Linked DNA regions of Diceros bicornis minor. The protein of the gene in region 2 purifies or fractionates together with the protein of the main gene of each other region. This does not show direct contact. Links are inferred from orthologs where the notes say so. Each region holds a gene or a part of one and is shown on either strand. Other genes may lie near its edges. The genes, in order: PPME1, PPP2R1A and CEP350.

Region 1 (10,007 bases), on a different chromosome or scaffold from region 2:
GGAGGGGAGGGGAGAAAAGGAGGGAGGGAGAAAAAGAAATAAGAAATATAAGTTGTATGTTTTTAAGTGAATGTCTCAAATCCAAATAGGCATAATACACTTCAACATCTACTGTGCTGAATTCAGTCTAAGAGAGTTATTAATGAGTCATGAGCTGCACAATAGCAGGCCTAGTCACTGCTGTCACAAATTCTCCACTCTAGGAGTCTTGTAGTGGAGGCAAAATACTGAAGTTTAATTGCTGCCAGCTATTTAAATCAAGGCACTACTGCTTAAAGAAAAAAAAAAAAAAAGTCCTCATTAGCAAAACTTCGAAGAGAACGAAAGAAGGCAACCAGATGGCTGTCTGGGGTTATGGTAGTTTGGAGTATTCATTACTAGTGATATGGGCATGTTATTAAAGCAGGGGACTTAAAGATTCTAAAAACTACATACTGGATCAGGCTATTACAGATTATCTAACTCAAATGGGAACAATCAGCTGTCTATTATGTATCAAGCAGTGTTTCAAATTCAGAAAGAAAAGTATCCCCATTTTAAATATGGGGAAATATAGGCTCAGAAATGAAAAATAACTTGCCCAGAGCCACTTTCAGTAGCACTGGAGTTTGGATTTAAACTCAAGTATGTCTAGTGTCAAAGTGTTCTTTCTACTACACCATGAGAGAGAGGCCCAGGAAGAGGAAAAATAACTTGACCAAGAGCCACATGCTTATTAGTTGCAGAGACAGGACTTCCATTTATACCTGGAAAAAGTCCACGGCAAAGGACACACACAGAGGCATGGCGGAAAAGGACTGATAGTAAACAACTTCAGCCTTCTGTTGTGGTTTGGAATGACTGGAATTTTCAACATAATCACTTATTCAATCTTCAAAATATATTGGTAGTATTGCTTGGGACTGGTTGTCAATACTGTATATTGAAGGCCATCTAAGTGTGGCATACAAGTGAACCACCCTTTTAATAGCACTATTAATTAAAACTTTCTTCTCTAAAAGAAACTATCTCATAGCATGAAGGAAAAAGTTTTTCCTAACCAACCAGAGGTGTTTTCTCAAATCTGATATCAAGCAATGTAACAAGGAGGGCTTATCAGCTTCAAAAAAAAAAAAAAATCCAATTATCCAATTTGGGAGACACTAAGAAGAAACAGATTTGCTGGCATAAGCCTAGCAACAATGGAAAAATGGACCATTACTCAGAAGTGCACAGGTCACAGGGCTCAAACCTGGCACAAGGGGGAGAGGGAGAAAAGAAGGGCGAGGAAGAAATCACTTCCCATACCTGTGCTGCAATGAAATCAGTAGGGAATTTGAAGTCAGAAGATCAGTCTCCCCTACCTGTTAATGTTGGGACTTGGAGCAGATGCTGTTTACTCTCTACTCCAGACGTTCCTTCCCCACTTCCCACCATTCTCTATGTCCTAACAGAATTTCAAATTGTTTTAGAAGCTGGTGGAGATCTCTTGTTATCTTTCCTTCAGTCCAAGGAAATGAACCAGAATTGGTCTAAACCAGTCATAGTAATCCCATTCCCTACTGCCAATGATTGGTCTTAGGATGGACATGTGAACCAGTTCTGGACAATGAGACTCACGGGAAAAATCTGCTAGGGAGTTTCCCTTTCTAGGGAAAAAAAAAAAAAAAAAGACAAGTTTAGGGGGCCAGCCCCATGGCTTAGCGGTTAAATGCGCGCACTCCGCTACTGGCGGCCCGGGGTTCGGATCCCGGGCACACACCAACGCACCACTTGTCCAGCCATGCTGAGGCGGCATCCCACATACAGCAACTAGAAAGGATGTGCAACTATGACATACAACTACCTACTGGGGTCTTTGGGGAGAAAAAGAGAAAAAAAAAAAAGACAAGCTTAGCTAGGAAAAGGCCTTTGTCCCTGTTCTTTATTTTTTATTTTTTATTTTTTTGTGAGGAAGATCAGCCCTGAGCTAACATCCATGCTAATCCTCCTCTTTTTGCTGAGGAAGACTGGCTCTGAGTTAACATCCATGCCCATCTTCCTCCACTTTATGGAGGACACCGCCACAGCATGGCCTGACCAGCGATGCATCAGTGCGCGCCCGGGATCCGAACCCGGGCTGCCAGCAGCGGAGCGCATGCGCTTAACTGCTACACCACGGGGCTGGCTCCACGTTCCTTCCTTTTTAATTGGCAAGATAGAATCAAGGTAAGATGCAAGTGGACTTGCAGCAGCCATCCTGCAACCATAAGGTGACAAGCAAGAGAAGGAAAAGTCAACATTTCTAAGGATGGCAAAAGAAAGGATGCAAAAACCTTTGGTCCTGAATGATATAGTTGAAGGACTGAATCAACTCTGGAACTTTCTGTTAATAATAAATATCCTTTTGGTATAAACCATGGTAAGCTGTTAACAGTCAATTAGATTATTTCACATTAATGTAATATTGCTAATCTGAATTTGGGGAGTTTTGCAGGTTTAATTGTATTTAAACAGTAAATCTGTTGAGTTCTATAATTATATAACAGTAATATAGAATTTACTCTTATACATAAGGAATTTATCCCTAGTTTTATTTTGTACATATTTAAGTAACATTACATTAAATATAACTTAGGTCAATACTTGGGATCCTAAATATTTTTCCTTCAAAAGGGATTCATTCCGGTGGCACAGTGGTTAAATTCAGAGCACTCCACTTCGGCAGCCCGGGTTCACGGATTTGGATCCTGGGCATGGACGTATACCAGTCTTCAAGCCATGCTATGGCGGTGTCCCACATACAAAATAGAGGAAGATGGGCACAGATGTTAGCTCAGGGCCAATCTTCCTCACCAAAAAAAAAAAGGGGGAGGGTACATACAAATTGAAAGACACTATATTTCTTCAAGGAAGACTCACTATCATAAAAATATTTATTCTAAGCTAATTTATTCTAAGCTAATTTACATATTTAATATAATCCCAATAAAAATACTATCAGGATTTTTTCTGGTAATAGTCTAGTTGATTAGAAAGTTTACTCGTAAGAATAAACAAGTAAGAGGAGCCAGGAAAATCTTAAAAAAGAATGAGGGGGAAGCTACCTCTACCATCTACTAAAACATATTAATAATGCCTCTCTAATTAAAAGTGTAGTAGTGGCACATAAACAAATAGGCCAATGGAAAAGGAAAGAAACTTCATAAACAGACCCAAATCTATGTGGAAATGTAGTATATGATAAAGATGTCATTTTAATCAGTGGGAAAAATGGCTTATTTTTATTGCGGTGAAATTCATATAATGGGAAAAGGATTTTTTAATAAATGGTGTTACAACAACTGGACCCCACAGAGCCCTGTGAGGACACATCTAGAAGACTGTTGTCTATGAACCAGAAAGTGGTCCTCACCAGATACAGAATCTGCTGGCACCTTGCTCTTGGAATTCCCAGCCTCCAGAACTGTGAGAAATAAATTTCTGTTGTTTATAAGCCAGCCAGTCTACGGCATTTTTGTTATGGCAACCCTAATGAACTAAGATACCAGTTGCAAGTGGGGATCCCAAATCAGAGTAGCTCCAAAAGCTTTAATAAAAAAGTTCAAAATCACTGTTTTTGGCATCGTCTACTGGCATCTATCAAGGAACAATAAAACCAGGATTTCAGGCCTTACCCAAGAGAAAGTGTTGGTGTTCCGAAGAGGGAATAGATTCTAGAGACTAACCCTAGATTGAATCCTGGTTCTGCCACATACTAGTAGCGTAATCTTGAATCTCCAAGTCTGAATTTCCTTATTTATAAATTCAGGGAAATACCTACCTTGCCTGGTTATGGGCAGATTAAATAAAATAACATACATAAAACTACTACTACAATACCTGGCACATTGTACTTACTGAGGAAAAAAACGGTAATTGCTATTATTACATTATCCAGCAATACTCTGGAACTACTAAGTTCAATTTGAAAAACTAAATTATGGAAACTCAAGAAAAATCATGAACTCAAAACCACCCTGAATATGCAAACACATCTAAATAAGGTTTAGTGAAATTGAAGGCAAGAGATTATGAAAAATAGCTGAAAGAGTAAGTCATATAATACACTGTCAAAGGAACAGGCCCATCTTGAGTAACACACAGATGTGGGAGTGGAAAAAGATGGGAAGATAAGAAAAAAGGCAAGTGAGAAGGAGAAAGAAAGAAGGATGCTTTGCAATTGGTGGAAGTGAGAGTTCATAAATCAGGACTGACTGAGGAAAAAGAAAGACTGAACTCTATAGTATTTGCAAAGGAAAAAGATAAACAACTTAAAGTAAGTATTGCCAGGATAACAACTACGAATCTAAAAAACACAATGGGTCCCAGAGGCAAGAGATCCAAGTCCTAGTCCTCAGTGGCCCCACCACTAAGCTTCTAGGGTGTCTTAGTATGAGGAAGATTTGAGTTTCAGTTTTCTCAGTTATCAAGAGGAAATACTGTCCCCTGCCTCTTAGAGAATTCTGTATTCTGCAAGGTAAACTGAGTCTCAGTTTCCTTAACTATACAGTCAAGTAGTGAGATGAGATCATTTCAAAGCTCTCTTCTAGTTTTATGATTCTAGAGGGGACAGAGTCTATATTATTACTAACCTTAGAATTAGATGAGGCCTGCTTACGTTTCCATAAGGAAGAAGAAAAGGAAAATAAGCCACTTGAGGACCACATAAAATTCACCAACATATGCTCTTCTCTTCACAATACTATAAAGAAGCATCTTTCTAAAGAACTTTATTTTTCAGGATAAGCAGTTAACCTAAATTAAGAAGACCAAAGCATCTATTTAAGGAGGATAAGTTACTAACAAGTATACAATCTTCTAATCAGAAGATTTTCCCTTTATTTTCTCTTAGCATTTTTCCTCAGTTCTTCATCTTCAGAGAACTTGTTTTGACAAAGTGAGAAGCTGAGTTCTAAACTTATGTAAAGCATGTGTAGATATTAAAAAGCTAATAGTTTATATATTTTTACAAAAGAGTGCTGGTATACTTAAAGATCAAATTTTAGTTTAAGAAAGGCAGCAACTAAGATAAATATCAACAATAACTGTTACATTAATTTTATACTCCAGGTTAATTTTCCCAAATAATCTGTTATGGATCAGTTTCCAGATCCACCTTATTCATGTTAACACTCCTACCTTTCTGTCTTCCAAAGCCAAAACAATCTTCATTTTACCTTATATGCAGCCTTCTACCACCTCTTTCTATTGTGCATCCATCAACCTATCTTCTGTCAAAGTTTTCCCATTTTTCTACTGAGTATCATAGTTAGGTCCCCACTTTGATTCTTAGTTTTTTTCCCTGGTTTTTCCAATCATTCTCACCACCCCTCAACCCCATGGTTTTAATTTATAGGACTCTCCTTTCTCTTCATTCCTAAGACCTACTTTTACAGTACTGCATTTCCTATCCTCATCTCTTTTTTGATCAGTTTTTGTACATATTACTTCTTCAGAACCTAAGGTTTCTCTTCTCTAGTTCTTATTCCAAGAATATCTACCAACCTATCTCTAGAATCCCAAACACACACTCTTGACTACCTCATACCTAAGTATTCTTCCTACCCCTTTTCTCTTTACAATCACTAGTTTCCAGAATCCTGTCTGATACCACAAATACCACCCAAAACCAACTGCCAATTCAGTTCTCTGTGCTTTCCAGCAATCCCTCTCCCATTTTCAACTCATTATACTCTCTCTCCCACACCTAAATAAACCCTAACCTGGCACAAGCCATTCAACAACCTAAAATTCCAAAAGCCTCTCTCTTCAACACAGCCCCTCCCTTCCCAGTAAAGTTTCCCCCAAAACATTTTAAGTGGCTACTCTCAATACTTCATTAATTCTGAGTCTTACCTGAGTCTTATCAAACCCAGTACACAGCTTCCATCAGACCTATTTGCCCAGCAAAAGTCAACTGCCCAAATCTTCCTCTCTAAGCTTCCCAGACGTTACCTCTCTGCAGCACTCCCACTCACTAAACCCTATTCCTACTCACTTCTCAATTTCCAGAGCCCATGGCCACTCTCTAAGCTACTCAGCCCTCTCCCTCGTGACTCCCCTTATGTCCTACCCTCACTTTTCAGCACATTCCTATTATCCTTAATGGTCTTCTTGGCTATGTTCTCCATCTTTCCTTAGGCCTGTTTCCCAAGCTTTTCTCTCCTAAAAGACCTAATCTCCTAGTCACCCCCTCACTCCCTGAATCTGCCTCTTACACCTCTAGGAACTCGCTCTAGAACCTTCTGCTCCTAGCTCTCTTTCCTTCTCCAACCCTGCCTCAGGTGTTCTCTATTTCCCTCAGCTTTTCTAATATCTAGTTCTCAGTCTTACTCCTTCCAAATCTTTTCCTAGTAGTTCCCCTAAGTCCCCTCAACTCTTCTCAGTCATTCCCCATTTCCCTCAACCCTCCCTGGCAGATTCCCACCACCTTTGTCACCGCTCTGCTCCCCTTCCTCCACCCTCCTCCACACCTCCTTCTGGAGGTGCCTCCTACCTCTCTTAAATTACCCTCTCAGCTTCCTCAATCTTTGCCTCATTCCCTTCTCACTTAATACTATTTGTCCTCCAGTTTCCATTGACTTGGCGCCTCCCCTAGTCCCCAAATCTGCCTTCTACTCCATCCAAACGTCTCAGGCCGCCCCTAACATTCTCTCCTAGCCGCAGCCTCCCTTGCCTGCCGTTCTCAACGCCCAGAGACACCATTCTCCAATGGCCGGGGCCTGGCCGCCAGGGGGAAGGGGTACGAGTCACGTACCCCATTCGCATCTTGGCTCCGCTCTGACTGCCCCCGCTGCCGGGTAGAGGAGGGCGAGAGGGCAGGCGGCCGAGGTGCATGCTCTTCTCGAGGGCCGACATGAAGGGGAGGCCGCAGGTAGTTAAAACAGTAGTCGAAGCTTCGTCCCACGCTAAGTGCGGCCCAACCGGTCACAGCTCTCTCCCCTAAGCGACGCCCTGTCGCCTTTGGACAGCACCCAGCTACCGGCAGCACCGCCCACCGCCCACCGGCTCCGTAAGCCCCACCCCCTCCCCCCCTGCGCTTCCACCGGAAGTGCGCAACAGCCCTCCACAAAGGGAGCTGGGTAACGGAGTCTGAGGACACCTCAGACCCCCAGCGGAGAACGCGACGATCCTCCCCCGAGAGAGAAACGCTCCTGAAGACAATGCACCCTGGGCAATGGAGTTCTCATCGGGCGTATCCCTTTGCGCTTGCGCGAGTGGAGGCGACAGCGTCCAACCTCGCAGAGGTAGTAGAGCAAAGCATCCTGGGTGTTGTAGTCTGTTGCCGGGAAAGAGTCTTGGCGCCTTCCCTTTTCCCCGGTTCTCAGAGACTGTTAAAGGAAGAGCCGCTTCTTCCTGCCTCCCAGGCTGCCCAGCGGCGCCGGTTGCCGGGGAACGCGGGCGCCGTGGGAAACGATGGCGGGAGGCTACGGGTTAGGTGCTGGGGCAGGAGTTGAGCTGGTGAAGAAGAGCTCGGGCTCGTCATGAAACAACGAAAAGGCCAAGGGCCTGGGGGCGGCCGTGGCCGCAAGAAGAGAGGTAACCTGAGAGACCAAATGTTGAGGAAAGGTTAACAGGGTTGAGTTAGGGGAGCAGGGTGTAAGGAATTCGAGGGAGACCCCCACACCCGCCTCTAAGAAAAAAAGAAAAAAGACGGAGAAGAGAGAATAACCAGGAAGGAGAAGGTTAAAAGAGAGGGCAGTTGGCCCTCCAGCAAATGGAAAGGAAGTAGGTAGGGGCTGAAGTGGGGGCCAAAGTGGGCGAATAAATGTGGCTAGGTGAGGGCTAAAAGGATACATGTAGGACATTTCTCGAGGAAGGGCACAAAAAAATTCTAGGAATGTTTTTTTTTTGAGATATAATTGACATAGCATTATGTTCTTTTCAGGTGTACAACATAATGATTGGGTATTTTTATATATTGCAAAATGGTCACGACAGTAGCTCTAGGTAGCATCCATCACCATACGGGGTTACAAAAAAAATTTTTTTTCTTGTGATGAGAACTTTTAAGGTCTGCTCTTTTAGCAGCTTTCAAATACACAGTACACTGTTATTAACTATAGTCACTGTGCTGTACATTACATTCCCATGATTCAGGAGTGTTTTTGATAACAGTTAAATGTGTGTGTGTGTGTGTTGGGGGGAGGATATAGCTTTGGAGGTCCACATGGGAATGGAAGAAACATTAGTTGGAGAGGCAAATATGTCAGTAATCCTAATAGGCAAGGATCACGTTTTATACATTACTGAATCCCCAAGAACTAGCACAAAGCAGGACTCGGTAAATGTTATTTGAATGAGTGAAGCCTGAGACAGTCATGCAGCATGAAAGGCTATAGGCGGGAGTTGGGAAAGATAGTTGTGGAGGAGAGAGGAAGAAAGGGTGGGGTGGAGGTGAAGGCATGAGGATCTCTGGAGGATTGAGATGAAAGCATGTGTAGCAAGAGGACTTTTATCAGGTTAGAAATCTCAAGGAGAAACAAGCTCACCAAGGGAGTAGGGAAATGTTAGCTGCAGCAAGAACAGTCACCCCAGGAACCCAGGGCAGATCGGGAAACTGGAAATTGAACCTCTACAGAGCTGCCTCAAAAAAAAAAAAAAAACATTGGGCAACTCTGCCTTTTTACATTATAGGCAAAGGGGCGTTAGGAATAATAATAGTACATTAGGCCCTTAGGTTGAGGACTGAAGCTACAGTCTGGGAATGAATCTTATCCAAGCTGTTTAAAGATAACTAAGGCAGTTTTGAGGCAGCGTCTTTCCTGCCAGAATGATGGGAGGATATGAGACAGAAGCATGGAAGTGTTCAATACTGGTGCTCCCTGTGTCAAACCGGTCAAGAATATTTGGTTGATAGGAGGAAAATCAAAATAGAAATAACATAAGAATGTCCTTCTTGCTATACCACATGCATATGCAGTAATGTTCATATACACACCTTTATATAATTTTTATATTGAAACTAGTTATCCATAAAGATTATGATGGGTCTTTTCACCACTGTAAAGAGCAGAGGAATCCATAGAATTAGTTATATACATTCCTGATCTGATAGACTCCAGTTATTTTCTTCTTGTGTGCCATGACCACTCCCCAAGGGAGAAGTTAGAGGCATAGAAAGGTGTGTGTAACAGGAATGGTTTCTTAAATCTCCTCTAAATCATGGTTAGAAGATACTGTGATTGGAAGACAATCAGGGTCATTAATGGAAAGTTTTATAGAAAGTCATGATTAGTTGCCTCATGTAGATTTTATGATCTGTTTGAAATCCAATAAATATTATAAAAGCCGATAAATATTGTTAACTGAGAACTGTGCTAGAAAATAGTGGTAGAATCTGAAGAGGATAGTCTCTATCCCCATTGACTGTATGTTGTTGGCAGGAAAGAAAAGACATAGCCAATTTAAGGTGGACGTTGCTGAAATGCTGAGTTGTGTGGTATAGACTGAATCATTTGCGAGTCGAGTAAAGGGAGTTGTTGCTGTTTTATATTTAATGATGTTTTTAAAGTAAGAGAGTTAGGTAAAGATAACATAACCGTGGACATTGCAATAATCAAAACAACAGTACTTAGAAGAAAAATTTCAACTACTTTTGAGATTTTAGAGACCTATCTACTGTATTATTATATTTGTATTTTTCTTTTTTTTTTTTTATAATTTTATTTATTTCTTTCTTTTTCCCCAAAGCCCCAGTAGATAGTTGTATGTCGTAGTTGCACATCCTTCTAGTTGCTGTATGTGGGACACGGCCTCAGCATGGCCGGAGAAGCGGTGCATCGGTGCACGCCTGGGATCCGAACCCAGGCCGCCAGCAGCGGAGCACGTGCACTTAACCGCTAAGCCACGGGGCCGGCCCTATATTTGTATTTTTCAAATGGTGTCTTTCAATTAAAGAGGTGTTCATATTAGCATGTCTTAAATTGGTGTGTTCTTTACTTACAATAACCTGAATCAAACCATAAATACTAATTAGTTATCAGAGTGGCTTCAGTGACCATATA
Region 2 (10,007 bases):
TTGCTGAACAAGTGAATCAAGACTACAAAATTTCAAATCCCATGTTCTTTCTAGTATCCTAGACTGTCCCATTAAAGACTAAGTACAGTATCTGGCATACAAATCTAGTCAGTGTCTGCCCCATTCCAAATTCTCTTCCGCTCTCTGATCTCAGACTTCCTTTGGGAATCTTTCCTGGCTCCTCCACTCCCCACCTGGCATGAATGTGGCCAAGTTATTTACCTTCACTGGGCTTCAGTTTCCTCATCTGGAAAATATAGGTAAGCAAAGGGTGGTTGTGAGAACTCAGTAAGCTCATAAATGCACTGCCTTTTTATAGCACCTAGCACAGAGCAAGTACCCAATAAATATCAGCTGTTAATATTATTTATTCAACCCCTTCTGAGCTCCTGTATTCCCTGGTCTCTGTGCTCAGGCCTGTACTGGCTACTGAATCCTTAGGGATGAATCAGGTCCAAGCCCTGTCCTCAAAAAGCCCACAGACATGGACAAAGATGCAATCTCTGAGTCTCTATGTCTCTGATTCTTGGGAAAATGTTCAAACTCCTTATACATGCCGATGTGTATGTACCTGTATGGAAAGATCTGGAAGAAATATTAAGTGAAAAGAGCAAGTTGCAAAATAAAGTACTTACTGTTGGGAAAAAAATGCCCACTTTTTCTTTCTTTCTCTATATATGAATAGAGTATGACCCAGAGTCAGCACACTCCAATAGAAATATAATGCAGAGTGTAAATGCAAGACCTGCATGTAAGTTTACATTGTCTAGTAAAATTAATAAAATAAGCAAGTGAAAATAATCTTACTATATTTTTTAACCCAATATATCAAAAATATTATCATTTCAACATGTAATCAATATAAAAAGTTTTACTGAGATGTTTTACCCTCAGTAGTAGTATGTCTTTGAAATCTGGTGTGTATTTTATGTATAAGCACATCTCAATTCAAACTAGCCACATGTCAAGTGTTCAATAGCCACATGTGGCAAGGGGCTAGGACAGCCCATGTCTAGCAAGATTCACACTGATCTGATAATACTGGTTACTTGTGGGGGTGGATGGGATTTGATACAGAGATGGCTTAAGTCAAGGGTTGGTAATCTATTTCCTGTAAAGGCTCAAGTAATTAACATTTGAGGCTTTAAGGGGCCATATCATCTCTGTTGCAACTACTCAACTCTACCCTGCTGCTGCAGCACAAAAGCAGCCATAGATAATACATAAACAAATGGGTGTATGTGTTTTCAATAAAACTTTATTTAAAAAAATATGAACAGGCACAGGGTCCTGGGTGGCTGTTTGTCAATCCCTGGTTTAAGTGATAGCTCACAAGGTGCTTCTAAGACACATCCCTTTTCATCTTCATCTCCCAACATCAACAGCTCAGTCCCTTGGCTCCAGGCACACTGGCCTTCCTGCCATTGCCAGAACACACTTTGCATAGTCTTGCCTCAGGACGTCTGCACTTGCGGAATGCTATTCCCCAGATATCCACCAGGCCTGCTCCCTCCCTTCAAATCTCTGTTCAAATGTCACTTTCTCAATAAGGCCCTCCCTACCCATTCTATCTAAAATTCTAACCCTCTCCTGTCCTCCCCCATCCCTGCTTTATTTTTCTCCATAGCACTTAGCACTGTCTATCCTCCTCTACATTGTACTTGTTTGTTCCTTGTCTGCCTCCACAACAAAGGGAGCTCCATCAGGGCAGATTCTTGCCTGTTTTGTTCACTGCTGTTGCCCCACTACCCACATCAATCCCCAGCACACACCTGGCACTCCTTAAATATTTGTTGAATGAGGAGTTTCCCTTCAGACTTCAATGCAATAAAAGTAACAAAAGAATAAACAAAAAGAAACATTAAACCAATTGAAGATGTAAAAGAAATTTTTTTAAAAGGGCACTTCACCACCACCATATCACTCAAACTCCTACCACTTTCTCCCTCGATCTCTACCTTCCAGCCACAAGGACTGTGGTAAGCAGAATAATGGCCTTCCAAAGATGTCCACACCCTAATCCCTAGAACTTGAGTATGATACCTTACAAGCAAAAGAGACTTGGCAAATGTGACCAAGGTAAGGACCTTGAGATGGGGAGATTATCCTGAGTTACCCAGTCGGACTCAATCTCATGTCTCAAAATTAGAGACCCTTTCCTGGCTAGTCAAAGGGAGATGTGACTCCACAAGAACAGTCACAGAGATGCAACAATGCTGGCTTTAAGGATGGAGGAATGGGCCACAAGCCAAGAAATATGGGTGGCCTCTAGAAGCTGGAAAAGGCAAGGAAATGGATTCTCCCCTGGAGCCTGGAGAAAGAACGCAACCCTACTGACACCGTGATTTTAGCCCAGTGTGACCCAGGTCAGACTTATGACCTCCAGAGCTGTAAGACAATAAATTGCTGTTCTTTTAAGCCACTAAATTTGCCTCGAGAGTTTCCCATCCCATACGATGGTTTCTCCCAATCCCACTTCTATGGACATTTTGGGCAGATATTTCTTTGCTGTGGGGCTGTCCTGTACCCCATGTCCTGTATAGGAGGTTTAGCAGCATCCCTGACTTCTATCCACCAGATAGAGTACTTCCCCAGTTGTGACAACCAAAAATGTCTCCAGACATTACCAAATGTCCCGCGGTGGGTAAAATCACCCTGGTTGAGAACTACTGCCACTACCTGCCTGCTCTCTCTACCTGGAAGACTCTCCCCCACCTTCTTCCCAAGGCTGGATCCTTCTTCTGGTCTCATCTTGAACTCTGCCTCCTCGAGAAGCCTTCCTTAACTACCCTACTTAAAACAGATCTTCCTCACCCCACTTTGTGCTTGCTGTGTACTCCACCCAGAGAGCCTCATGGCTCCTTCCCTTGCCTCCTTCGGGTCTTGGTTCAAACATCACCTTTGCAGCAAGGCCTTCCTTAACTCCTCTTTAAAACTGCATCCCCCACCACTTTTCATTTTCCTCCTTAGCCCTTATCCGCAACATAGCATACATTTTACTTACTGTCTGTTTCCCCTCACTACAACGTACACTCCACGAGGCCAGGAGCTTTTGTCAATCTTCTTATATACCTGTGTCTACAACAGTGCCCTACGCAGAGCAGAGGCCCAATAAATATTTACTGATTCACTGTCACAACATGCTATGGTTTTCTTCCCACCACATCTCACATGTGTTATTAATGTATTCAGCTCTGTTCCACACGTCTCTTGTATAACAACTGGTGTCACCACTACATCCTCAGCACCATACCTGATATGTGGCAGGTGTTTACTGAACAAATGAATTCCTACAACAGCCCTTATGAACTAGATAATGACCTCCATTTGAGAAAAGAGAAAACCAAAGCTTAGAGAGATTAACTTGCCCATGTCAATCAGCAAGGAGTGGAAGAGCCAGAAGTACAACAGCAGCCTGTCTGACTACAGAACCAAAGTGATATACCCGGAACCTCAGAGGCTGGGCCCAGAGTAACCCACTCAATTTTATCAATAAGGAAATTGAGGCCCAAAGAGAGGATGAGACCTCTTCAACCAACACTCAATAATTATAGCTAACCTTTACTGGGTCCTCACAACAGGCTAGACACCGTTCTATTTTACCTGCATGTATTATTAACTCGTTCAGTCTCTCACAACCACCCAATGAGGTTAGGACTATGATTAGCCCACATTTTATGGAAAACAGAGGGCCAGAGCGATGAAGTAACTTGCATAAGGTCACACGGCGGGGGTGGGAGGTGCAGATGGGATGGGCAAACCGTGGAGTCCTCACTTTTCTCAAATCCTCGCCAGCCAGGCTCAGGGCCCTGAGCCACCCTATTCGGCTCACCAGAAATGTGTTAGCCCATTTAGCAAAGTGCCCACCTCCCAGTCAATGGGACGATCCCAAAAGGGGAGCGGGTTTCTACCTCGTAATTGACTCCTAAATTTGGCGAGCCGCCCCCCGCTCCTTCGGGGATATACACCAAAATTGGAGGGAGGGAAGGAATTGGAAAGGCAGCCTCCATCTCTCAGTTCCCCCATTTAGGGAGTTTACCCCACAGCGCTAAGGCCCAGCCGCCAAAACCCAGAAAGGCGAAAATCTACCCGGGTCCAGACCAAGCAGGCGACCCCTCCCCCATTCGGAGCAAGTCACGCTCCCTCTCCATCCCCAAGGGGCCATTCAGGGACCGCCGCCAATCACCGAGCCCTTCCCTGTCCCCGACCAACCAGGCAAACCCCCTCCCTGGCCGCGGCCTCCCAGGCCCGGGGCCGCCGCGTGCACTCGGCAGGCCCGGGACCCTCCAGACTCGCCTCGCTCCCGCCCTCCGCTGGGCCAACACCCAATCCCGGGCGCTGTTGCATCGAGTCCTGGGACCCGGAGAGATGAGAGCTGCACGCTGATTGGCTGCGCTCTCTCCCCGCCACGCCCAGAGAACGCTGAGCCTTCTCCGCGAGAGCCCCCGTGCCTCCATGTCCCCCTTCCCGTCTTCCTCAAGCCCCCCGTGGCCTCCGGACCTGGACATCCTCGTTGCGGAGCTCGTCTATGAGCACTGCGATGGGGTAGAGCGAGTCATCGCCGTCGGCCGCCGCCATCTTGGCTCCGTCCGTTCCTGTCAGACTGCGGCTACCGCCGTGCTGAAATCCGGATAGGGAGGGGCAGAGCTGGGAGGAGGAAAGGCGGGCGTGGGGGCGCCCGAGCCACTTTACAGGGGCGGCCCCACGGTCATTGGCAGCGCTGCGCCAGAGAAGCCCGCTTTTCTTTGGTCCGGACAAATCAAGTCCCGCCCACTGCCCATTTGCCATTGGTGGAAGGGACGAGAAGGCTTGCCGGAGCCAAGGAGTGGGGGAGAAGGAAACGGAAGTACGCGGTATCTTAGCGACCAAGATCGTAGCCGCCTACGTTGTCGCTAGCAACGGCCAAGACGAGCTGTTGTTTCTAGCCAATGAGGGGCAGGATTGGGAGGAGGCGAAGCCTGCCCGTCTGCGACTCCTGGAGAAAGTTTCTGCGCATGCGTCGGTAGGACTGCATGGCATCAGGAGGTGACCCGGACCGTCTGAAGGTTTTAGCTGGCAGGCGGACGCCCGGCGCCTTTGTGCGGGAGGGGCAGGAGGGAGTGAGGCTTTGATTTATGCCTTATGCCGAGGTCCAGAGAAGGCTGGCGAGTTGCTTTATTATCTGGATTAAACCCAAGTCCCTCGGACTAGTATTCAAGGCCTTTGTGGATCTGATTCCTAAACTCTATCTAGATACATCTCCCATCTCTCCTTTTTACACGTCAGCAGTCCTGGAAAATTAGCCCCCTGAGTTCGTCGTGATGCCAACAAGCCTTTGCCCAAAACATACCTTCTACTTGGAGAGCAGTTTCTATTCAATTGTCTCATCTCTAGATAAATGTCTCCCCTTCCCTGCCTTTCTTCAGGCTTGGCCCTCAAGCCCCTAGAGCCTCACAAAAAAAAAAAAAAAAAAAAAAAAAAAAAAAAGGAGCCACATAACCTGTTTCTCTCTCAAAATTCCCATCCCCGAGGCTGAGGCTGTGACTCTTGTGTTGATGTCTGTCTCCTCCCACAGAATGGGACAGGATTGGTACTGATTAGTGTCTGCTCCTAGCCTCACTCATCACAGCCCCCCTACCCGCAATCTTAGGACCACCCTAAATGAGGGAGTTTGGGCGCGGTGATGGGAAAGCCTGGGGTGCTTCTTCACCCATTATTGTGCCCCTTGAAGGGCAAGGCTGAGCGAGGACTCCTGGACAGGTCTGAATAGCCCAAGCATCTTTTCCAAAGACTTCTACCCACTCCAATTAGGAAACTACTCCCATAAAAAGTAAGGGGTGGTGGTGTTTCATAGTTCAATCCTTGCTGTCCATATTCCCAGGATCCTTCCCTACCTCACCAGCTCACTGAGACTATGGGTCTAGTTAGCTAAGGGTGCACTTTAAACATCTTGAAATTTTCTTTGTCAATTACACCTCAATCAAGCTGGGGCAAAATAAAAAGTCACAAGTGTGCCATGCAGAGGTAGCCTCTGCATCAGACAGCAACTACATAATCAGCAACTTGATTCTTGTCAGTCTTTTCAAACAACAGGCCTTTACCATAGACATCTAAATGAATCACCCAGACAATTATTCCAGCACTGCCATTTGTTTCCACAGTTCACAGCCCAAAAGAGGGGTGTCCTTATTCTGGCAGTCCATAGTTTTCCAAGTGGCACACTAAACAGCTAGACCACTGGCAGCAGTCCAGGTGTCTCAGATCTGACCAATGAACAGAACAATCACATCTAATTTTGGTTCTGCAGAGCTGGCACTAAGGCTAAACAGCCACACTGGCCCAGGGGACACCATTAGGATTTAGCTTACCTAAACCATCAGTGAATCATTTGGGGGAATCTTGAGGTCGAGGGTTCCTAGTGCGTGGCTTTGGCTACAGTGTAGAACTTAAAATTTCCTCCAAAGGGATAAGTACCACTTATTCTTGTAAAGCTGAGATGTCACTGAGGCCAGTCTGCCTTCATTCTTGAATATACACTTTCCATGAGACACAGGACTTTTGGGACCCTTCCTACTTGTTAATAGTGAAGTCCATATTGACTCATTCCAAAATTGAAATATCATGCTTGTAAAAAGGAGATAGCAGACCCAAAGTGGAGTCACTTGTGCTAAATCCCACATCAGCAAACCAAGACTTAATACCCAACCTAATTGCAGTTTAAACCTCTGTTGGAATGTAACCTTTGACCAGTCAACCTGGAATTACCTGGTCAGCACAAGTGCGGTAATCTACCTGAAAGTCCCCTTCCATTCCCTTCAAAATGGTGACCTTGCCTGAAACCATGCATTCTTTGCTAATAATTTCCCTTTTTCCACCCCCTCTCTGCCTTTAAAAACCTTTCCTTTTCTGTAGCCCTTTGGAGCTCCTCTCTACTTGCTAGGTAGTGTGCTGCCTAATTCACAAAGCCAATTTAATCTTTAAATTTACTCAGTTGAATTTTTGTTATTTAACAGATTTAGTGGCAGTGGCAGGACTGAAGGAGACTTCTGACAGCTTTGGGGACGAGAGACACAGGTGTGGTACCCATGAAGTCTGTTGAGTTCTGTGTCTTTCTTACCAATTTTGAGGGAGTGGGTAAGTTCCTCTCAGTTCTGAGCTCTGCTCTCTTTGCATTGAGCTCCTGATCTAATTGGCTTTCCCCATTTGATTGGACTCCCTCCCCAAATTCTCTCCCACTAGCCCCCCCCATTCCACATGGGGAACTGCTGGTGGTTATCCAACTAAGTCTGGAGTTAGGCTGGGTCCAATTTAAGCTGGACTGGGTCCAGCCTGAGGCATCAGGTGAATACAATTTTGTTTTAAGTAAAAGCTAGTGGCTAATGGGAATCAGAAGTAAAAAAAACAAAAACAAAAACAAATCCACAAACATTGCTGGGCATGGGTCGAGCATGAAACTGGGGACCAGCTTGCTTTAACTATACTCAGTTAGTTGTCTGGTTGCAAAAGTAGTTAGATAATGAATTACTAAAACCCACACTATAGACAACATCTCTGATGCCTGGGTCACCATGGTAACATGTGCTTGAGTTTTTCAGGAACTGACAGTCAACTCCTCATCCAGTTCAGGCTGGTTAAGACCACCGACACATCAACTGGGCCTGCATGGATGACCCATAGGTGACGCTTTGATGTCAAGGAGCTGAAAACTCCACCCTCAGATCATGGTGATGCTGCCATTTTGTGAACATGCATCCTATGAAGAGTCATGAAGTTTGATTGCAGATCAAACACAGATCATCAATTGCCTCACTTCTCCTTACCTCCAATCATCTATTCCCACTTCAGACCACTCTGCCCCTTTATCTCATAAATATCCCTAATCCCATTTTTCAGAGGTGGATTTGAGATTGGTTCTCCCATCTCCTTGCTTGGCTGCCTTGTTAAACCCTTTCTCTTTGCAAACTCATCATCTGGGTGATTAGCATAATGGTGTGGTGGGAAAAATGAACTTGGTTTGGTAACAAGCATTTAAAGGCTGTTAAGGGGGCTGGCCTCGTGGCTTAGCGGTTAAGTGCGCGCACTCCACTACTGGCGGCCCTGGTTCGGATCTCGGGCGCGCACCCACGCACCGCTTGTCCGGCCGTGCTGAGGCGGCGTCCTACATACAGCAGCTAGCAGGATGTGCAACTACGACATACAGCTATCTACTGGGGCTTTGGGGAGAAAAAGGGAAAAAAAAGGAGGAGGATTGGCAATAGATGTTAGCTTAGCGCCAGGCTTCCTCAGCAAAAAGAGGAGGATTGGCATGGATGTTAGCTCAGGGCTGATCTTCCTCAAAAAAAATGAATAAATCAATAAAATGAAAAAAAAATAAAGGCTGTTAGGGCACTGTATACCTCAAGAATACTCCCATGTTAGGATAAGTTGGTTATGAAATGGGTTAAATTGACACTAGGTCACCCACCAACCTCAAGAAAATTTCCATGCAACAAAGCACAATGTAAAACTACACACAATTCCCAACACCCAGGCACATCCCTCTTAGGTATTAGTTTGGCTCCAAGAAACCCAAAGGCTTAACTAAAAAGAAATGGGATCTTTAAGCTCCAAAGAGTCAAGTGTGCCACCTTCCAACACACCTGCTTATTTCATGTCTAAGAATTACAGTCCTGGACTGTAGATATCTAGCCAAATGGCAAAATCTTACTAAAAACAACCTAGAGTTACAATGGTCATTATGGGAAACGTTTCAATTAGACAAGATTGTTTATTTAAGAAGTTCACTGGAAAGCAAGAGTTCCTAAATTAAACAAAATGGAATACCTATTTTAATTGGTATGCAGAAGCTTCCAAAAGGCTGCAAGATTCCAAAATAGCTTCATTAAATGACTCATTACAAAAGGCTAAGGGAAAAGTAAAGACACAAAGGGCACCTAAAACAAAAGACTAGAGCACTGACGTGACTCCTACTGTTCCCCTCGTCCTTCACCTGAGCACTCATGGTTACTGATTCTCTGTCTGAACCGCCTTTCCACTCTGAAAAGACTTAAATAATTACCTTTTAAAATAAAACTACCTGAGGTTTCAGACGAATCTTTTCAGATATCTTTCACCCATCGTTCAAAGACCAAACTAAGGGCCATAGTTAAAAAATTCCCTAAACCCAGGGAAAATCCCCCAAATTTTTTGTTTAAGAATTTAGAAGGGCTAAATTAAATTTTGGAATTTAGAAGTCCATTAAAAGGGCTAATATGTTTGCTTCCAATGGAGACTTCACCTTAGAGTTTCCTGACCAACCTGAACCTGATCCTGTATGCTCTTTATAATCTGCCCTTGACATAGAAGAAGAAGAATTCCAACAAAAGTTCTCAGATTTTAAGGTGCCCCCAAATCTCTGGGCAACATTTAATACTGTCATTGGGAGAATAAAAGGTGTAGAGCCTATACAGATCCAGATAGATGACTAAACTTCTTAAATTGCCTCAAAATCCATTAAATCCTGAGGCCACACAAGGCCTCACTTCCACAGTAGAAGACCTACTCACCCAGGGGCTGATCATTCCCTATACCAGCCCCTGGTCTAACGTAACATATTAGCACTTTAATTTAGAAAGGAGATCCCTGCCTAATGGATTGACTGGGGCTGTATCACATAGCAAAAAAGGAAGCTTTTCAATAAAAGGTCACAGAGTCATTCATACTGGTTGAGATAGAAATTCTCTCTGAACTTTATTACATATCCCTACTGTACAAATGGGAGGGGATGGTGATTTGTCCAGGGCTTGAGAACTATTAACAAGATAGTTACTCCCTGTTTCCCATTTGATCCAAACCTGAACACCCTGTTGTCACAAGTTCCACCAAACTCAAAATGGTTCACTGTTGTAGACATTTGTACAGCATGCCTCTAGACCCCAACAGCCAGTATCTATTTACCGTTACTTGGAACAATCAACAATGTACCTGGACAAGCAAGTGTCAGGGGTTCACTGAGACTTTCTTATTTCTCCAAATTACTCACTCCACCA
Region 3 (10,007 bases), on a different chromosome or scaffold from region 2:
GTAGACAAGATTACAGATCAGATTTGGCATTTAGGCTTGCCATTTCAATAGAAAAGTCTTTACCTAATCCTGACATAATTTTATTCAAGTGACCTCAAACAGTGAATGGCATCATTACATCACCATAGCTGTATCTCTCCATTTCCCAATTTGTTATGTCTGGAAATCAATGCCAAATTTCACATTTTCAGGAGAGAGAACATGTAGCTTTTCACCCAAAATTTATTAAATCCAACAAACACTCAATTGAATTCAACAAATCTTGAATGCCTAGTTGATGCAAGGCACCTACTCAGTTTATAAAATAGTAGTGAAAATAACCAACATTTTTGAGCACCTACTATGTACTAAGTACTGTGCTGTTTCCTTTACATGTGTTGTTTCTTTTAATCCTCACAAAACTCTATGGAGTAGGTACTATTGTAATCTCCACTGTACAGATGTGGAAACTGAGGCACAAAGAGGTTAAGTAGCTTGACCAAAGTTACTTGATTGGATCCAGGCCTTTTTGATTCCAGAGTGCATGCTTTTAATCCACCATGAAGGAGACAAAGGGCTTTACTGTCTAACGTGACAAGGATGTGCAGGATAAAGGCAGAACTATGGATAGTAGATATGGCCCTAAGGGAGGTACACAGCATTGCAGAACTCAGGGGTGGAAGAGGATCTGCAAAGTATGGGCAGTCATGGAATTCTTCCTGGAGTAGGTAGCTTTTGAGCTTGTACTTAAAGGATGTGGCTGAAATTGTGAACCAAGGTGACCTGTGTTTCAGGTTAGAGACAAAGGTGTAGAGGTAGGGATGAGCAGGCTGTTTCTGAGATCCAGTTTGGCCCAAACATACATCCAATTAGGGAAGTAATAATAGCCACTGCTTATTTCTATCTTTTATGTATCACGCTCTTGACAGATGTTATTTCTACTTTTTAAGACAACTCTACAGAGTAGATATCATTAGCCTTGATTTATAGACAATAAAATGAAGGCTTTTGAGGTGTCACAGGGCAACTAAGTGACAGGCAAGATTTGAACTGGAGTCTTCCTGACACCACATTCCTGCCCTTTCTACTTTTTCATGCTGTCTTACTTTAGGGAGATAGAAAGCTAGGCTGGTGCCATATCGAGAAAGGCCTTGATGACTGAGGTGAGGAATTCTTACTTACCTTGGCAGGCAGACGAGGGCAGGGGCAAAATTCAAGCTGAACTCTGGGAAGACAACTGCAATCTTTTGGGCAGTAGAAAGGAGAGCCTGAATTAGAAGAGCAGAGGTGCAACTGGACAAAAGGGGAGTAGATAAAAGAAATATGTAACAATGGAATTTAGAGACTTAATAACTGATTGGGTAGGAATAAGGCATAGAGAAAAGTATATAATATTTCTAAACTTTTGAGCCTCTCTGTTCTCCGAAGGGAGTTCTGCAATGGCCATTAACAGAACAACAGGGCAGGAGGAGGAACTGGCTTTGTGGGATTGAGGAGGGAGAAAATGATATACTTAATTTGGGAGCTGGAGGTGGTGGTAACTTCTACATCTACGTGGAGATGAGTAACAGACAATTGGAGATTTAGTCAAGTCTGGGGCCAAGATCCAGTTATACAAAGAAGGTTGACAGTCAAAGTCATCGTAATCAGTGAAGACTATAAAGTGCAGAAAAATCCAATCTTAGTGTCTACTAAGAAGTAGGAGAAAAAATAGAGCCCACCTATTATGTGCCTAGTACTGTGGAAACTACTGGGAAGGGTGACAAACCTTTTCTCATTAAGCTTCCAATATTGTTCCAGAGACTAATTACTCTCATGAAACTACGAGAAAATAGTACAAAACTTAATATACTCAGAAGCCATTATGTAGAGTATAAACAGTAAGAGTTATGGGATGTTGAAAAGAAGAGAGGTTGATGTGTTAGAGGTATTCGGGAGGTAAGAGAGAGGGCAGGGATTAGCACAAAGTATGGAGGTGGAAACTGTGCATAGGCTGATGTGAGGGTAACATTGCTCCCCGCGTGGTGACAGGAATTTTTGATGTTTTCTTTGTTGCCCAGGAGATAGCCTGGAGGTAGAAAAGTATCAATAGGCTTTGGAGTAAGGGAGATTTCAAATCTTATATCTGCCTTTTACTGATGCTATAATATTGGGCAAATTACTTAGTTTTTCCAAACCCATTTCCTCTTTTTAAAAAAGTGAGCATAATACTTAATAAGATGGTTGTATAAATTCAGTAAAGTAACATATGAAAAGCATCTATCCCACTCCTTTTCACCGAAAGAGTGGGGAAAACCTAAATAACTCTTTCCTATGTTGTTTTTCTTGCTACCACTTGCACCGTTGGGATACCCACATTACCTGTTCTTCCCTCCAGCACAGCTTCCTGGAGACACAGTACACATCTAACATACGTGCGGGATTTTTGTACATCCACTTATTTCCTATTCAGGCACAGCTATAGGCCCTACAAAGAGGGTGCAGTAACTGCCTCCTGCTTTTATTGATACGATCTACTCAACAAGCATTTATTGAGCACCTACAATGTCCTAGTTACCGTCCTAGGTCCTGTTGGGGTATAGAGAGATACTCAAGATACGTAGCCTCAAGATACTTAAAAATAAGAAACAGTCTCTGGCTAAATAGCTATTGGAGTTCAGAAGGTGGAGGAGTGTAATGGGTAGAGACCTTGTGTGCAATGAACACCGAGAGGAAGGTGGCATGATTTGCGGAAGAGATGTCATTTAAGCTGTCTTGACAGATGACAGAATTTACCATGCAGAGACCGGGGAGAGGAAAAAGGTATTAGAAGATATGTTGGTCGCAGAGTTTCTCAAAGCACAGTTATATCAATGCCAATACCTAACTGGAGGAAACTCCGTTTTGCTTGCTTTGGCATCTTAAGCCACTAGACAGAGTGCATGCTGAACAGAATTGCAACCCTTGCGAATAACACGGCCACAGTGACAGCAGTGGGTAACTGCAGCAGCCGCAGAGCTGCAATTACTCTAAAGCTCACTGGGGTAAAGATTCATTTGGACGACAATTGGTGAATTGTCGTAAACTCTGAGAAGCTGCAATTTCCAGACGTCGAGTTCATCTTTGTCAAACCCCCAGCTTGTTTTTTCGGCTAGGAGGTGAAATGCGCAGCCAGATGGCCCAATTAGCGTCAGCGGAAAGAGGGCGGGGTTGGGGGGAGGTCTCCGCTGCGGATCTACTCTGGCCCCTCCCGAGATCTGCAAGGCTCAAACTTCGCCACACTAAACATGGCGCCCTCGAGGTTCCTCTCCTCGTTTCACCTCGCCTTCACCTTTGGCCACACTCAACATGGCCCTAACCAAGGGTTGCATTCTTGTGGAACCGTCTGGGCATAGTTCTCGCGATGTTTGCCCGGGCCCCTACTGCTCCCGCCCTGCCTCGCGCCGCCGCCGCCGCTGCCGCCGGCGCCGCTCCTCCTCCGTGTCAGTTGTTGGGCTGTAATGGCGACTGGGCCGCTGCTGCTGAAGTGACTCCCGGGCGGGGGGAGAGGGGCCAGACCTGCGCCAGAGGGAACTGCAGAGAGCCGCAGCTCAGGGGGTAGCTTGTTGTGGGGGAGGGGAGGCAGCCTTTCCGTCTCTCCTTCCTTCTCTGCAGACCCGCGGATTTCGGGAGCCGGTGCGAGGCGGGCACCCGGTGCGTCCCCGGAGCGGGGAGGCCAGGCCCGGCAGCCCTGGGGCAGGTTGGGGCGGCGTCACTGTACCCTCCGCCAGGCCCTGCGGGATGCACCGTGGGAGCCGAGGGCGGAGGCGACACTCTCAGGTGAGTTGCGGGAGGACCTGGCTGGGACCGTGGACGCTCTCTTAGCCTCCGCAGCCTCTGTCCGCGGTCCCGGGTCCCCAGTGGTGGCGAGAGAGGTGGGGCGGGGCGCGGGGAGCCCTGGCCCAGCCTGGCTTCGCCCTCGGGGAACCTTACTGGGTCCTGAGGCTTTGCGGGGAGGGCCATCCTGCGACTTCGGTTTCAGGTCCCACCGGTGCCTGCCGAAGACGAGATTTCCTTCCTTACCTGCCGGTCCTCCCCCGCTTCCCCCGCCCCTCCTCTCGTCTGCAAAAGATTTGAGATGCCTCTCTCCTTTGGTCTCCAGAGAAGTGTCCCTTCTTCATTGGAGATCAGGCATATTTGGGGAAATTCCGGGCAACTGGCTCCAGTGGCAAGGATGACTAGTTTCTGTTCCTTTTTGGTGGGGATAAACATTCCTAAACGTAGGGAAAACTTTGATCTTGTGTTCCAGTCTAGCAGCTGCTGAATGTAGTCTACTGATTTATTCACAAATGATGTAGGGGGAGATTTAAAAAGCCTTACGCTTTGAAAGTTTACGTAGCATTTTTCCCCGCCCTCTTTTTAAATATAGCCCAACGTGCTAAATAATATTTAGCTAATGTCACAACATGGTTTGGAATTTGGCTGGTTTTTTAGTTTTCGGATAGGAAGTCGCACATATAGATTTTAATGTGGTTTTAGTGTAGTAGCAAATCCTTCATATAGGAAAAAACAGGTGGCCAGGAATAGTGATCAGTATCCATGTACTCCACCTGATTGTTTTGTTTTGCTGGTGATCCTTGTTTTGAATTTGGAAAAGTCGTTAATGGTTATGTTGCCATGTTAACACGATACCTCCTCCTGTATTTTAAGGGTTTTAAAGAAAAGGCTATCTTAGGCAGACCTAGTAACAACTTGAGAAGGTTTGTAGAGGCAGTGATAAAATACTGAAAGCTGCTCTCCATTTAAAAAATTTCTTAGTTTAAAATATTGTTTTTAAATAAGGCAGTGTGCTGCTAATAAAATGAGATTGTGACTTTGGGGAATTGGTTGTTAGACCTATGGTAGAAGTTTCTTCAAACCCATGGGAGTGTAATAATTAGTTTTGGTGTGCTAAATTGACAAACGCCATGCAGAGTAATAAAATATATCTGAACCCTGGAACGGTCATTGCGTTGGATTTAAGATACTTTAATCAGAAAATAAACATAACCTGGAATACATTGTATGTGTGGATAAATACATGTGTATCTCATCTTCATAGTCAGTAGCAGTACTTCCTGTTTGTAGTGATGGTGAGTTATAATATGTAAACAATTTCGTACATATGTGAAAAGATTTTTCCGAGATTTGTTGGTGTGTAGTGTTATGGAGGAGCGTTAATACTTCAGCAGCCAACCTCCTGTGGGGTAATCAATTTATGAATTATGGAGTTTTGAGTTTTCTTCTGTTGCTTCGGATTGCCAGTCTTTTGCCCATTTTATAACGCTTCTACCATATCATGGACAGAAAAAAGAGATGTAGCCCCTGTCTAACCAATTTTATTTGTTAAATTGGTATAAGTTATAGTGAGAGCAAAAAAGCTGCTGTCTAAAATAACTGACGTCATTTTTTGGTGTGCTTCCACATACATTATTTTATTTAGTCTACATAGCAATTTTGTGAGTAGGTTTGGCAAATATCTTACTTTGCAGTTGTGGAAATTGACACACAAGTAAGTTCGTTTATTTTTGTGAATGCTGCTGTTATTTCTGCAGATGATTGAGAATTAGTTTTATTTTCAATTATTTTTTTATTGAGATATGATTGATATATAACGTTATATTAGTTTCAGGTGTGCCACATAATGATTCCCTATTTGTATATATTGGGAAATGATCACCACAATAAGTCTAGTTAACATCCTAGAATTAGTTTTATTTTAAATTGAATATTAATGTAGATACTTCTGACATTTGGTTTTTTAAAATCTAAAAAAAATTCTATTCTTGTTCTTTTTGACATGCCACTTGCTCCTTATGCTGATGATTGTCACTTCTTTAAAAGCATTAGTACTTTCATAGCATTTTGTTAATTATTAACAAGTCATGAATTATTATAATGGATTGCATTAGTTCTGTATGTACTTTTTGCTTGAATAATGTTCCTAAGAAATTGTAGTTAATTTGTCATCACTCATTTTGTTTGGATACTTACTTCTGTCATCTTTGGTATTTCAAATCATTTATACTCTTGGTTATGTAAAGCAGATATTCAAGCCACATAGTAGCATAACTGAGTAGTAACAACTTGGTGATTTTATTGTAGAGACAACTGATGATTTAAAAAGTTAAATCACCATCTACACTTCTGATTGCTGTTTCTGCAGTGTGGGACCGGTTGTTAGATAATTTTCTTTTTTCCCCATGTCAGACAATTTCTAGTGTCATAAATAGTCCAAAAACCCTGAGTAAACAAAAGATTGCATAGTTTTTTCCTGCACTAATACTTTTTGTTTATTGTTACCACAAGTATAACTCTACATTTACTAGTGCTTATTTGGGGTTATTATTTGCCTTTCTTATCTAGTCTGTAAGTTTCATGATGGCAGAAATCCTCTATTGATTACCGTGCACCCAATGCCTAGCACATAATAAACTTCCACCAATGTATATTCAACCAATAAATTCAAAAAATTCAATAAATATTGGTTGAATAAATTGACTAAAGTGTGGTCTCGGTATAATATTTAAAAAACAAAACAAAACACTAGTTCATAGTTCCTAGGCACATCTCAACTCTTCCTCTTTTTTTTTTTTTGTGAGGAAGATCAGCCCTGAGCTAACATCCCTGCCAATCCTCCTCTTTTTGCTGAGGAAATTACAGTAATTACTCTTAATTACAGTATTAGGATTTTTAAATCTTAAAGGCTGACTAGTTTAATTCCCACGTTTTATACATAAACAGAGTATCATATAGGGAAATATCTTACCTATAGTTGGTTTCATAACTGGGTGAAGAATCCACTGTCAGCTGCTAAGTTTACATTTGTTTAAAGTGTCAGATAATTATCAGATCAGAGGATAATTGTGAACAACCTGGCCATCTGTTCTACATCAGTGTTAATTAAAAACTGAAAAACAGGGCCGCCCCGTGGCTTAGTGGTTAAGTGAGCGCGCTCCACTGCTGGCGACCCGGGTTCGGATCCCGGGCTCGCACCGACGCGCTGCTTCTCCGGCCATGCTGAGGCCGCGTCCCACATACAGCACCTAGAAGGATGTGCAGCTATGACACACAACTATCTACTGGGGCTTTGGGGGAAAAATAAATAAATAAAATCTTTAAAAAAAAAAAAAAACTGAAAATAGGACTGTCTTTTCATGAGTCAAAAATATTTGTTAACAATGAATCTCAACCCTCTGTTCTGTCATTGGGACTATAAGTTGGTACAACTGGAACAATGTTCTCGAAGGACATGTGGCATTATCTACCAAAATTAAAAGTGCACATATTCTTTGATAGAATAATTTCATTTTTAGGAGTGTTATTTTACAGAAATTTTAACACTAGAGCCCAAGAACAAATCTATAAGGATGTTCATTTTAGATTATTACAAATAAATGTGAACATTTATAAGTAACAGAGAATGTCTTAATTGTCCATTGGTAGGGGAATTGTTAAAATTATAGTATATTTATGCTGTGAGATATTATGCACTTGTTAACAGGTTGAGGGATTTCTATATTTACTTCATGAGAAGCAACTGAGCTTATCCTTGAGTGCAGGGACCATGCAGCAAACTTTCTGGGTTCAAACCCTAATGGCACCATTTATTAGCTGTGACCATTTGCAAGTTACTTAAACTCATCTATAAAGTGGATATAATTATAGTTCTTATCTGACAGGGCTGTTGTGAGAATTAAATGAGTTAATATTTAAGCCCTAGGTAAGCATAGTAAGCGCCACATAAATGTTTGCAGTTACTGTTATGTACTGACATGGAAGAATGTTCATAATATGATTGAAAAAATAGGTTGTACTACACTGTGGAATATGATTCGTTTTGTACAAACACACACATAGGCAAAGAAATGTAGTTTGGTTTTGTATGTGCAAAGGAAAATGTGTAAGAATCGACATTAAACTATTAGCAGTGTTATCCCTGGGGGAGTAGATAACTTTCCTTTTTTTACTTAAGACACTTTTGTATTGTTTATTGTAAGTCCCGCTTTTATAATTTTTGAAAGCTTTTTCCTAAAAAAGAAAATATTGGAGCAGAATTTTTCTTCAATTATACAGTCATATAAATGGAGTTGTTTCTCAGAGATCTACAGATTTCATCAGCCAGATATCACATAATTGGATTCTATTTCAAAACTTTTGTTGATGAAAGGTTAAAATTAATCTATGAAAATTCCTACTAAATGTATTTATTTTTCTGCTAGCTTTGTGACCTTAAAGCTCATTTCTTAATTTACAAAGTAAATACGTAGGTTAGATCAGTGTTTCTTAAACTCAAGATTCCTGAACTGTGCCCAAAAGTACCTTGGAGCACCATAGTGAACTCACACAAGCACTGTGGGATATTTTTAAATTTTCGAGGGAAACACAGTAATATTTGACATCTGTGGGACACTGCTCAAACGATTAGTTTGAGATAGTGCACATGAGATTGTGCTACATTCCTTTCTGTGACAGTATGTCTTCAAAAAACTAGGTTTTGGAGGGTTGCTGTGATAAAAAGCAAGTACTGTGTAAAAATCAATGTGAAACAGTAAGTGAAAGTGGTAGTGTCCAAAGTGATTTCAAGATTTGAGAAGTTGTGTAATGTGTATTAGGTGCACACATCCCATCAATAAGTAATGTGGTTGTTTGGTAATAAAATATTTTTTCAATTTATATGTGTTTTTCAAACAGCTACTAAGTTGTCAGTATGTAAATAGGTTGTATGGTCCTAACTACCTAATAACTGTAAGTGTTAGGTGTTTTTTGGCCTGGGGGCACCATGAAAAAATTAGAGAGAGACTAAAGGTTCTGTGAGCTGAGAAAGCTTGGGAATCTCTTGACCTCTTTTGACTAGGACACTACAGTAAGAAGTATGTTTTTCATGGTGACACAATATACATAAATATGTATATTTTTATATATAAAATGGAATGAAAGTTTTACTAAAACAATACCCTTCTACTTTTGATACCCTGATATTCTCAATTCAGTTCTGTTTGGTTTCATTGAAACAATACTAGCTCCAACCCACCAGATTGGGTTTTTTTGACCTATGAATGGGTCATTACTACATGTTTGAAAAACGTGAGGCTAGATGACCCTTAACTTCCAGCTTTAATTTGCTTTGTTCTCTGATTAGTTATAAACAAAGTTGGACTATGCTTATACAATAGATACATCTCTGAAAAAATGTAGATGCTACATTTTTCTATAATGATTTATTTTAAATACTATAGAGAAATAACAGTGTAAAGGAGTTCTGTTTTTTTTTTTTAACAAATAGAAGGATATTTTTGTGAACAGAAGAATCCGATTTATCTTTGAGAAGTTTGGGTTTTGGTCAGTTTTTAAAAAAAGTTAGCCACTTAAAGTTTTTGTTGTTGTAAGTGGACTTGTAGAAGCTGCTTATGGAATTGCGGCGTCCCTTCCTTTTTAAAACTAGATTTAAAAAATCATTCATGACTAATAGCACTGGCCACAAGTTAATAGGCTTCAATTCATTTTCATGTCTAAATCTTTGAGTATTAAAGAATTTCTTTTTAGCTTTGGGCTTGTTTTAAAATATGAAACGTATATGTACACATATAACTATTTTTTTTTTTTTTTTTTTACATATTACCGTGAAAGAAATTTTCTGCTCAGGAATGGTTAACCTCTTCATATTGTATGAAATAATCTGTGGTTTGTGTTTTTTTTTTTTGCCTATTTGCATTTAAGAATGGATTCTGAGACTTATCATTGGGACCATCATCATTCAGCAAACAGGTCTGGAGCACCTAGTGTGTGCTGTGTACTGTGAGGAATAAAATATCATTCCCACAGTCCCATGTAAGAAACAGATATGTAAATAATAGTACAGGAGGTAAGAGGAATGATAAAGTGCTGTGGATTCACAAATTGGGAGCAACTACACTGCATCAAGGAGTCAGTAAAGGCTTCTAATGAAAGAAAATTTAGTTGTGTTTGTTTCCTTAACAGCCTCTAAATTAGCTAAGTTACTGAATGTGGAAGGACACTTTTCAAAATTA

The links.
Region 1: the proteins of PPP2R1A (region 2) and PPME1 purify together in Homo sapiens (affinity purification with mass spectrometry; 11 studies listed by BioGRID and IntAct, with this or other methods). This does not show direct contact. The link is inferred for Diceros bicornis minor from reciprocal best matches to the Homo sapiens genes PPP2R1A and PPME1.
Region 3: the proteins of PPP2R1A (region 2) and CEP350 purify together in Homo sapiens (affinity purification with mass spectrometry; 4 studies listed by BioGRID and IntAct, with this or other methods). This does not show direct contact. The link is inferred for Diceros bicornis minor from reciprocal best matches to the Homo sapiens genes PPP2R1A and CEP350.

Annotation. Positions count from the first base shown.
Region 1 is NC_080746.1:56,781,007-56,791,013, forward strand, and holds the start of PPME1 (protein phosphatase methylesterase 1), read right to left. Parts: upstream 6,968-10,007; 5' UTR 6,859-6,967; coding exon 6,758-6,858; intron 1-6,757. Other genes in the region: C2CD3 (C2 domain-containing protein 3), read left to right, coding at 7,178-7,247. UniProt on the Homo sapiens protein: Demethylates proteins that have been reversibly carboxymethylated. Demethylates PPP2CB (in vitro) and PPP2CA. Binding to PPP2CA displaces the manganese ion and inactivates the enzyme.
Region 2 is NC_080773.1:28,669,666-28,679,672, reverse strand, and holds the start of PPP2R1A (serine/threonine-protein phosphatase 2A 65 kDa regulatory subunit A alpha isoform), read right to left. Parts: upstream 4,640-10,007; 5' UTR 4,579-4,639; coding exon 4,501-4,578; intron 1-4,500. UniProt on the Homo sapiens protein: The PR65 subunit of protein phosphatase 2A serves as a scaffolding molecule to coordinate the assembly of the catalytic subunit and a variable regulatory B subunit.
Region 3 is NC_080743.1:87,104,458-87,114,464, reverse strand, and holds the start of CEP350 (centrosome-associated protein 350), read left to right. Parts: upstream 1-3,694; 5' UTR 3,695-3,777; intron 3,778-10,007. UniProt on the Homo sapiens protein: Plays an essential role in centriole growth by stabilizing a procentriolar seed composed of at least, SASS6 and CPAP. Required for anchoring microtubules to the centrosomes and for the integrity of the microtubule network.